Mus musculus: one gene and its partner. The protein of the gene in region 1 interacts with the protein of each later gene in a pairwise test. Links are inferred from orthologs where the notes say so. Each region holds a gene or a part of one and is shown on either strand. Other genes may lie near its edges.

Region 1 (4,541 bases):
CCCACCTCTTGGGTGCTTCCAGCCACCTTGAGCTGCAGGACCCCAAGATGAAGAATGAGACTTGTGGGGAGCACAGGCTAAGAGGGTCTTTTGAACAATACAGTTCTAACAAGTGCATCTCTGCACACAGGACGGCCACCTTGAAGCCTCACAGCTAGGAGCATTCGCATCCATTGTACAGATGAGGAAACTGAGGCCTGGAGGCTCAAGTGATGATCCAGTTACACAATTGGATGAGTGAGTTAGAAATCCATTTCTTCCATTAGTTCTTACTGTATCCATAAGAAAACAGGTATGTATAGGGAACCAGCCCAGAGATTAAGTCACATGACTCTAGACCAGCAGTTTTCAAAATGTGGGTTGTGGACGCTTTGGCAAACCTCTACCTCCAAAAATAGTACATTACAGTTCATAACTGTAGCAAAATTACAGTTACGAGGAAGCAATAAAAACAATTTTATGGTTGGGGGTCACCAGGGTCACAGCATCAGGAAGGTTGAGAATCCCAGCTCTTGCCTATTGCTCACGTACATTGCCATTGCTTTGTCCCCTTTCTCCTCCTCTTTGTGTCATTCCTTGGCACTAGAGTGCATTGCTGGCTTGACTGAGCTACCTCCTCTCCTAGAAAGTCACCACCATGAAGGCAGGGACTTGGTCTTATAGCTATTCTCCTAACCCTGAAACTGCACTGGCTGGCGGACTGTGGATGTCAGACATAAATCTCTCCACCCTGGAATGCAACACTGTTTAAGTGCACTGTCAAATAACACTGTTACAAACAACACTGTTGCACAGAGTGAAGCAGAGAGTATATCCTGGGGTTTCTGTCTTCTCTAGCTACCCCATTACCAGGCTTTCAGGCTGCTGAACATCTAAGAGAGAAGCCAGGCTAGAGCAATCCGGGGTTCATGCTTTGTATCAACTTCTGTGGTGCAATAAGGGCCCTAAACCCAGGATAAAGCTAGGTAAAGAAAAATTTAATATACCCTATGACAACTGTGTATACCTTCCTTCTTTACAAAGGGTCCAGACACAGCGTGTGCATACACACACACACATACACACAAAACACAAAACCACTTGGAACAAGATGAATTGTGTTCCTTCAAAATGCCTATGTCAAAGCCCTAACCTCTGACATACCAGAATATGACTGTATTTGGAGACACACCTTTAAAAAGGTAATTAAAGTTAAATGATGAGACAGACCATAATCCAGTCTGTCTAGTCTCTTCCCAAGACACCAAGGATGCCCATGCACAAAGAAACAGCCACCTGAGGCCCCAGAGAAACCAAAAGTGCCCACACCTTAATCTCGGACTTGCAACTTCCAACACAGAGAAAATAAATGTCTATTGTCTAAGAACCCAGCCTGTGGTGTTTTGTCACGGCAGCGGCAGCGGCAGCGGAGGCCAACTAATACATGCTCCCTGATTACGCAGCAGGAGGAATACCCCAGCAGGCCTCCAAACACACTAGGTTCAGCCCTGGTTCTGTCTCTGTCCATTCAAGGCCACAGCTGAAAGGCTTTTCCTATCAGGTGTTTTTCCTCTGTCCAAAAAGACAGCAGTCTCCAGGCTGGAAAATGACAGCAACACATTCAGTTACTAACGCCCACCCCCACCCCACCCCCCAACCCCCACCTCCCACCCCCCCTGCCAAGCCTCGTTCAAGTGCTACTTCAAGGAGTTGAGCCAGCCAGCCAGGCCAAGCCATGCTCTCCTTTCTGACAGCCTTACACTCAACAAGTGAAAGGTATATAGATAAATTCTAATTTTGGCAAAAAACATAGCTGTTATGGCTTCCTCTATCACAAGAACTGGGAATAGCTATGTATTTCCCAAACATTAACAGATGGCTGTGCACACAAGTACTCATTCATTCGTTTCATTCGCTCGTTCATTCATTCATTCATTCATTCATTCTTTAGTCAACAAATATTTCCCTGGGGTCTACAAGATGCCAGGCACCAAGAGAGACAATGTGAACACCACTGGCTCAGTACTCGCTCTCAAGAACACCTCCGCTGTAGTCAAGGAGACTGCCGTTAACAAATCATGCATTCCATTACAATTTTGGTATTTAATACTAAGAACAGCAACACCCGACATATGCATGCTGTCACGCATGTCCCCCACACTCGTGGGTATAAAGCCTCCTCTCCAATCACACGGAAGGATGACCATAGGTCAGTCAAAGTGCAGTGTCAAACCTGCCCAGCCCAGACTTCCACACCCCCAGAAGAGAAAAGATTTGGTCACAGCCGAGTAACAGCAAATACGCAGGGTCTGTGCCTTGCGCGGCCATACTCCACAGGCCTCACATCCACAGGACGCTCCCCAGGGTGATGGCGCTGGAAAGAAGCCTTCCATCCTCCAAGCAAAAGGCAGGTTCGATGACACAGGTGGCCCCAGGAGCTCTGGGACCGAGATCTCTCTGCCAAGCCTCCACGCTGTCTTTCTAGGCAGTCTGGCGGCCGAGCGCTTTCCCAGAATGGATGCTTTGCTCTGGATGCAGGGTCCTCCCGAAGTGCTTCAGTCCCTCGGGTCCTCATCCCACAGCTAGCAGTAGGCCCCTCAGGCACTGCGGGGAGACCCTCCCTCCGCACCCTCTCCTCCTTGCTGCAACCCAGGATCCTCCAATCCAGGACCCTAGCTCGGGCCGCCGCCTCCCAGCTCCCTGCCACCCACGCAGACGCCGGGAGCTCCCGGGTCTCCTCGCCCCTTCGTCTCTGCCCTAGCCCGGGGGCGGAGCCACGTACCCAGGCGAAGAGCACAGCAGCGGCAGAGACAGTCTCGGAGGCGCAGGACTCCCGCGCCATGCACACGCTCAGCCGGCGCTTCCGGGAGGGCTGACGCGGGGCGGGGCCTCGGAGGCCAGGGGCAGGGCGAGTCCGGGAGCTGGGCGCGGTCAGCGGGATGGAGGCGGGGTAAAATTAGGGATTAGGAGGGGCTAATGGGACTGGAGCAAGACGTAGCTAGGTATGGTCCTGCCCTAGAGCGCCGGGACTCAACCAAAGCACTGTCAGCAGGCACCTCGCGGCCGCCAGGGAACACACCCGGAGGTGCCTTACTACACCCACACTCGTAATTCTGCACCATGTTCAGTAATCTGGAAAACTCGCCACCTGTCCCACGCTGCCCAGAGCAGATGACCTGACAGGGGTGCAACAGCACGGTGGGAAGGGACCTGAACTGAAGATGGCAAGAGTCCAGTCCTGAGTCTTCACGAAGCTACCTTGGCCCGCTTCGCTGTGCGTTTGGGAACCCGAGAGTCTTGGGGAGCCGTGTTAGCCTTCCACAGCGGAAACCCACTACTGGTGACACAACTGGGGCTGGCTATTGTCTGATGTGCCCCTGCGTTCTCCCTACTCTCCGCGGCCCCGCACCATCTGCCCTAATTCTAATCACGAGCATAGATAATTCTCATCCAAGATAGATTTTCATACAATACAGCTTTCTATCAACGTTGTCGTGATGTTGGTGAGAGTTTAGTAATACAGTGTACCAGTGCACACTGGGGGAAATGGAATTTGGAATCTGGAATCTGGAAGGAGGACAAAAAGATCATGTCCCATTTAAGGCGATGATCTGCATTCGTAGCTCTGGCCCCTGTACAGACAGGTCTCAAGGCCTCGCCTTCCTTTTCTTCCTAGACCCTCACATTGGAAAATGTGTCAGGGAAGCTTCTGTCTAGGTCTCACCTGTTCATGCTACTGACATGTTACTGTCTGCTGTGTCTTGTGAGGGAAGCCACCCTTGGTCTTTCCTCCTCCACACTGTGGTTTCTTGAAAAGTTTGGTGGTGGTGCTTAGAAAGATCCAGACAAGCCAGGCAAAGCTGCTCTTACTCCAGAAAGAGAAAATAGAAGCCGTGAGAGATTCCATGTGCTGTTCACCGGTTTGCTGTTGCCATTTTGATCACTTCTTTCCAGCCTGTTCTAATAGGAAGTCACAACAGGGTATAATAGAAAGGTGTCTTACCAGCAGTTCCGGAAGCAAGAAATGCCAGTAACTTGCACATTGCACGGTAAGGTGGACTTGTGCGGGTCTTGTGCATGCTGTCAACAGTCTCTGGTTTTACAGACAAAATCCCAGCACTGAAGAAGAGAAGTGGGCACAAAGGCCCCTCCCTGACGAAGAAGCTATTTGCAATCAATACTTCATGAGAAAGAGAAAACCAGTTGTCTCCAATGGGACGATTGGGCATATCAGTCACCCTCCTGGGTAGGTCCCATGCTCAGGAGTAGCTGACCAACATAAAACAGACTCCATGTTTCATGTGTGGTTTTGGTTGTCCTTGTTATGGTTTGGTGAGTGTGATGGTTTACATATGCTTGGCCCAGGGAGTGGCACTATTTGGAGGTGTGGCCTTGTTAGAGTAGGTGTGTCGCTGTGGACGTGGGCTTTAAGACCCTCCTCCTAGCTGCCTGGAAGTCAGTCTTCCACTAGCAGCCTTCAGATGAAGATGAAGAACTCTCAGCATCTCCTGCACCATGCCTGCCTAGGTGCTGCCCTGCTCCCACCTTGCTGATAATGGACT
Region 2 (4,444 bases), on another chromosome or scaffold:
TGTTATTTTCAGAAAATGAATTTCCAGATGTTCAAATGATGCAGCCGACTGAAGGAAAAACCACAGTTTATAATAAGGCTCTTCCTTAAATTCAGACGGACAATTAGGAATCCTTCCAGTCCCAGTATGGAATCCAGGGCTGGCATGTCATAGGCTCCCTTTTTCATGCTGAGTTCAGTGGCTGATGAAGATCACACCCCTGAGGCTGCCCATCGAGGAGGTTGGTAACTCTGCACTGGATCCATCCACCTGGGCTCAGCCCCCACGGTTCAGGATGTGGGTACCTGAGAGCCTCTTCAGCATTTAACTAACTCCTTGTTGGTTGAAGGTGCTGGGACTGTTTCTCCACACATGAACTGATCCTAAGAAGAAGAAGAAATGCTATTAGCCGCCGGGTGTTTGTCTCACAAATGCATTAACATTACTTTCCTTTGGCCACAGAATCAATCTGGCTATTAGTTTTTTTCACTGTTCTGTCATCTTGTTTTCTTTCCTTCTTTCTTTCTTTTAATGCTAGCAATGAAAAAAAAAATCAAGATGTGAAATTTAGGGGAAAATCCATTTATAGTATTATAAAAATGCCAACAAATTTAGTTTAAAATTTTTATGACTTACGTACCAAGAACTAACTGCTGCTCAGGGATGGTCTGTGCTGTATGGCCTCAGCCCTTGGTCTTCCTAATAGATATTAGTAGCTACCCCAGTTGACACAACTGGAAACAAAGGAACATTCAAAGACTTTTGGTTTTTTGTTTGTATGTAGGTATGTACCCCACATGTGTGGGGGGTGCCCGTGAGGGAAGAAGAGGGCACCAGATTCCCTGGGGCTAGAGTTGCAGGTGGCTGTGAGCCACCACTGTGGAAGATGTAAATGGCCACTCCTTTTGGAAGCTCTTAGCCTCTAATCCATCTCCCCAGACCCAATAACACTTTATTTTTGTACAGAGAGCTGGTGTCAGCACTAGAACCAGAATCTAAAAGTATACTGAAGTTTAGCCCTGAGGTCATTAGTTAATATGCAGTGTCTCATAAATATCTTAGCTAGGGAGCAACCAGTTCCCAGAAATAAACACATCACAACTATCAAGTTTTTATATTTCAGATCAATATCTGGTCATTCAAATATGTAACCTCTTCAAAATGAGTAATAAAAAGAATGCCTTTGTGTGTTTCCCAACATATACCTGCAACAGTAACTACTTGTAAATGAAGTTCACACTCTGATCTTTCATGCTGGTTTATGCCAGCTACCACAAAAACTTTCCCAGTTACTACACATCCTCTACAGTGTGATTCCCAAGGAGTCAGTCCCTAGTCTGTCCATTGTTCTTTGCTCCATAAACCATTTTAAAATAAGAATGAATCATTACATTTCTATTATTGTCTAAATTAACACCTGCTTCTCCCACAAAGTTCTGTGCTTTGGTCCAACTTACCCTATAGTCATTTTAGAATTTATCCTCTAGACTGTTACATTCTGTACTTAGACTCCAAAGCACTAACTGAGCTTTGGGTGGGAAGTAAAGATATTTACCCCTTTTCTATTGCCATTCCTAATGGATACAAAGGAACATGGAACTGTAACATTACATCTAGGAACTATATCTCAAACAAGGTAGATTCTGTACATAAGCTAGGCAAGCAATAAAATGCAATCTTCTAAAAATATCCTAGAGCTCTGAACAAACTAAATATTAAATACAAGAGAAATGTCAAAAGGAAGAACATCAATTAAAATAACCATAATTTTTCATTCCTGATTAAGTCATCAATTTTCATTACAAAGCAATTTCTTTATTGCCCTTTCCAAAGTGATCATAAGTTACATAAAAGGCAGATCTCTGTGAATTCAAGGCCAGCCTGGTTCACATCATGAGTTCCAGTATAGCCAGGGCTACTTAAGGTCCCTGTCTCAAAAAACAAACCAACACCCAACACTCTTCCGCCCTTTTCTATCAGACAGGCTCCTTTAGGCCCTTGTCATTAGCTCACACCACCCATCCCCTTTAACATATCCCTTACTTTGTCATAAATCACTTTTATAATGAGTGAGCAGCTAGGACACGTGGCCACATCTTCTCCATTTTCCAAATCTTCCTACAACGCAATCAAACAACATATGGTCAGCATAGCCTTTCGTCAACTTCCCATAAATCTCTCCTATGTCTATGGGCAAGTCTTTAGTTGGGTAACAACACAAAGAACTTTCCTCCCAAGTGTCATCTAGGAAAAAAAAACAGGGAGATTAGATTGGTTCGATCGCCTCCAAAACCCTGGGGTACAAAATCAAGTTCCCTTCTTCAAAGAAGCTCCCAGGGGAAAAAAAAATAGAAAAAAAAGAAAAACACTTAGGGGCGGGACTACGGAGAACAGCGCCCTTAACCCGACCCTGTATGCTAGACAGCCTAGGTTACTACTTTAGGGGCGGGGGTTCGGAAGAACACGTGGGTAACTGAGCCTTCCCAGGGACACCGGAAGCGACAATGCGCAAGCTCGAGGGATCGCCGGCGGGCCCTTTAGAGTACCTTGGTGATGGCAAAGTTATCCCCACAGGGGCAAGGGTAGAAATATGTCTCCGAGTCCTCGTCATATTGAAAGTCCTCGATCTCCACCTCGTCGTGAAACACCGCCATGGTCACCCGGTCGGCACCGCATCAGCTTGCCTACCTGCGCCCAGGCAGGGTAAGGCCCGGTCTTCCCGGTCCACCCTGGCGCAGGAACAGTCACTTCCGGACGCACAGGCGATGACGTAACTTCTACCGCCGCGGCCAAAAGGGTGACCCGGTCGCGGTCGCCATGGAGATAGCGCCGGAAAGATGGTGCTTCCTGCGCAGCAGCGTTGCGCAGTTCTCCGTCCACTGGGTGCCAGCGACCAATAGTGTGAAGGGCTCCCTCTCATGGCGGTTACGTCAGTCCGGGGCCCGGGGAGTTTGGGCTTGGGATATAAACGAGTTTTCTATGCAGGTGGAGTCTTGTCCTCCATAGCTGACTTCAGAGGACATTAAAAGAATTGGCGGAGGCTACGCCCTCTTGAAAGGGGGAATCATTGAGGCTCAGGGAGCCACACAGCGTCCTCTCCAGTTCTCGGCCCACAGCGCTCCTGCAATTGCGTTTCAGGCGACCTTGAACTCTGAGTGACTCTTGGCCTGTTATGAGTTCTTGCCTGCAGGTACATCACTGCCTCTCTCACCCCAGCCACTTTCTGATACCCCGGTTGTGTTGTAGAGAACCAAGATCTGCAAGACAGGGGCGAGTTCTAGCCATATTTTAAATATTCACTGCAGTGGTGGGCACAGTAGCTTTTAATTATTGGGGTTTTTAGTGGGCAACCTATATGTTAAACTTGATCTTGAGGTTCAAAAATCCATTTTATTCATCTTTAACATAGATTTAGAGACTGGGCATCTTGCCCAAGATTGCATACCTAGGCCATAACGATGAGCCTAGCTGTCTCTAAAGCCCAGGAACAAATTATTTATGTGAACTTTAGTTCTCGGTAAAAGGAATGGTGTTCCTGGTATTTTCGTCAGCGTGCAGCCTCTTCTTTGAGAAGCACGTTGTTCCGAGAGCCGTGCTGGGCTTGTTCCGGTTACAACCAGGGACTTTGGAGTAGTGCTAAGCAGTTACTCATCTCACTGGAGGAGTGCAGTGTAGTGAAAAGTAGTATGGCAGAACTGGATTCCAGTTTGACTTGAAGAGCTCTGGGGGTTGGAAAATTACATTCTTTGGTTCTTACATCCTCTTCTGAGAGTAGATCCTTTGGAATCTAACATTCTTTTGCACGAGAATGAATAGTTCAGCAGTCATGTATGACTTATGTAGTTTACATTTCTGTAACAGTGTTTAAGTATGTACAGTTGTGTGCATAAATTACCAATTTTGTGCATGTTTAAAGGACACTATATTTTGAAGCCTTTTTGAAGTGTGAAAACCTATGGGCAGAGAAGCCTTTGGGAGGAAAAAACCCAGAACTTAAGTGTATGGAAGGTTGTTTCAAAGATCTCCATTCCTTTTTTTTTTTTTTTTTTTAACATAATTGAAGATCTAAATAGCAATTAGGAGATCTTTGTAGCCTGTTGCAGGTTAGCTGTAGCCTGTCTGGGCAGAAGAGAAATGCAGTGAAAGCCTTCTATCTTTATGGGTATAAATACTTCCCAGGTAACCTCTGGGACACAGGAAGAAAACTGATTTCCAAGTGTCTGTCTTTAGTTCAGATGATCTTTAGTTCTTATGAGCCATTCTTGAATGCGCAGAAATGGATGCAGTTGTTGGTAGGGAATGGCCTGGCAAGTATATCGATCTGTAACCCCAGCATTGATGCAAGCAGGGGCAGAAACAGGTGGATCTCTGGAGCGCAGGGGCCGACAAGTTGGTGAGCTCCATATTGGGGAGGCTACCGGCCACACGAGGCTCGTAGTGTGTATAAGTTCTTAGGTCTTTTATT

What was found. The genes of interacting proteins can lie anywhere in the genome.
Region 2: the proteins of Sergef (region 1) and Dph3 interact in binary tests that used the Homo sapiens proteins (3 or more experiments, as listed by UniProt). The link is inferred for Mus musculus from reciprocal best matches to the Homo sapiens genes SERGEF and DPH3.

What each region holds. Positions count from the first base shown.
Region 1 is NC_000073.6:46,636,952-46,641,492, forward strand, and holds the start of Sergef (secretion-regulating guanine nucleotide exchange factor), read right to left. Parts: upstream 2,857-4,541; 5' UTR 2,822-2,856; coding exon 2,762-2,821; intron 2,743-2,761; exon of another isoform or gene 2,373-2,742; coding exon of another isoform or gene 2,310-2,372; intron 1,621-2,309; exon of another isoform or gene 1,309-1,620; intron 1,299-1,308; exon of another isoform or gene 6-1,298; intron 1-5. UniProt on the Homo sapiens protein: Probable guanine nucleotide exchange factor (GEF), which may be involved in the secretion process.
Region 2 is NC_000080.6:32,082,885-32,087,328, forward strand, and holds the start of Dph3 (DPH3 homolog), read right to left. Parts: upstream 2,809-4,444; 5' UTR 2,634-2,808; coding exon 2,526-2,633; intron 2,403-2,525; exon of another isoform or gene 2,098-2,402; coding exon 2,023-2,097; intron 363-2,022; coding exon 297-362; 3' UTR 1-296.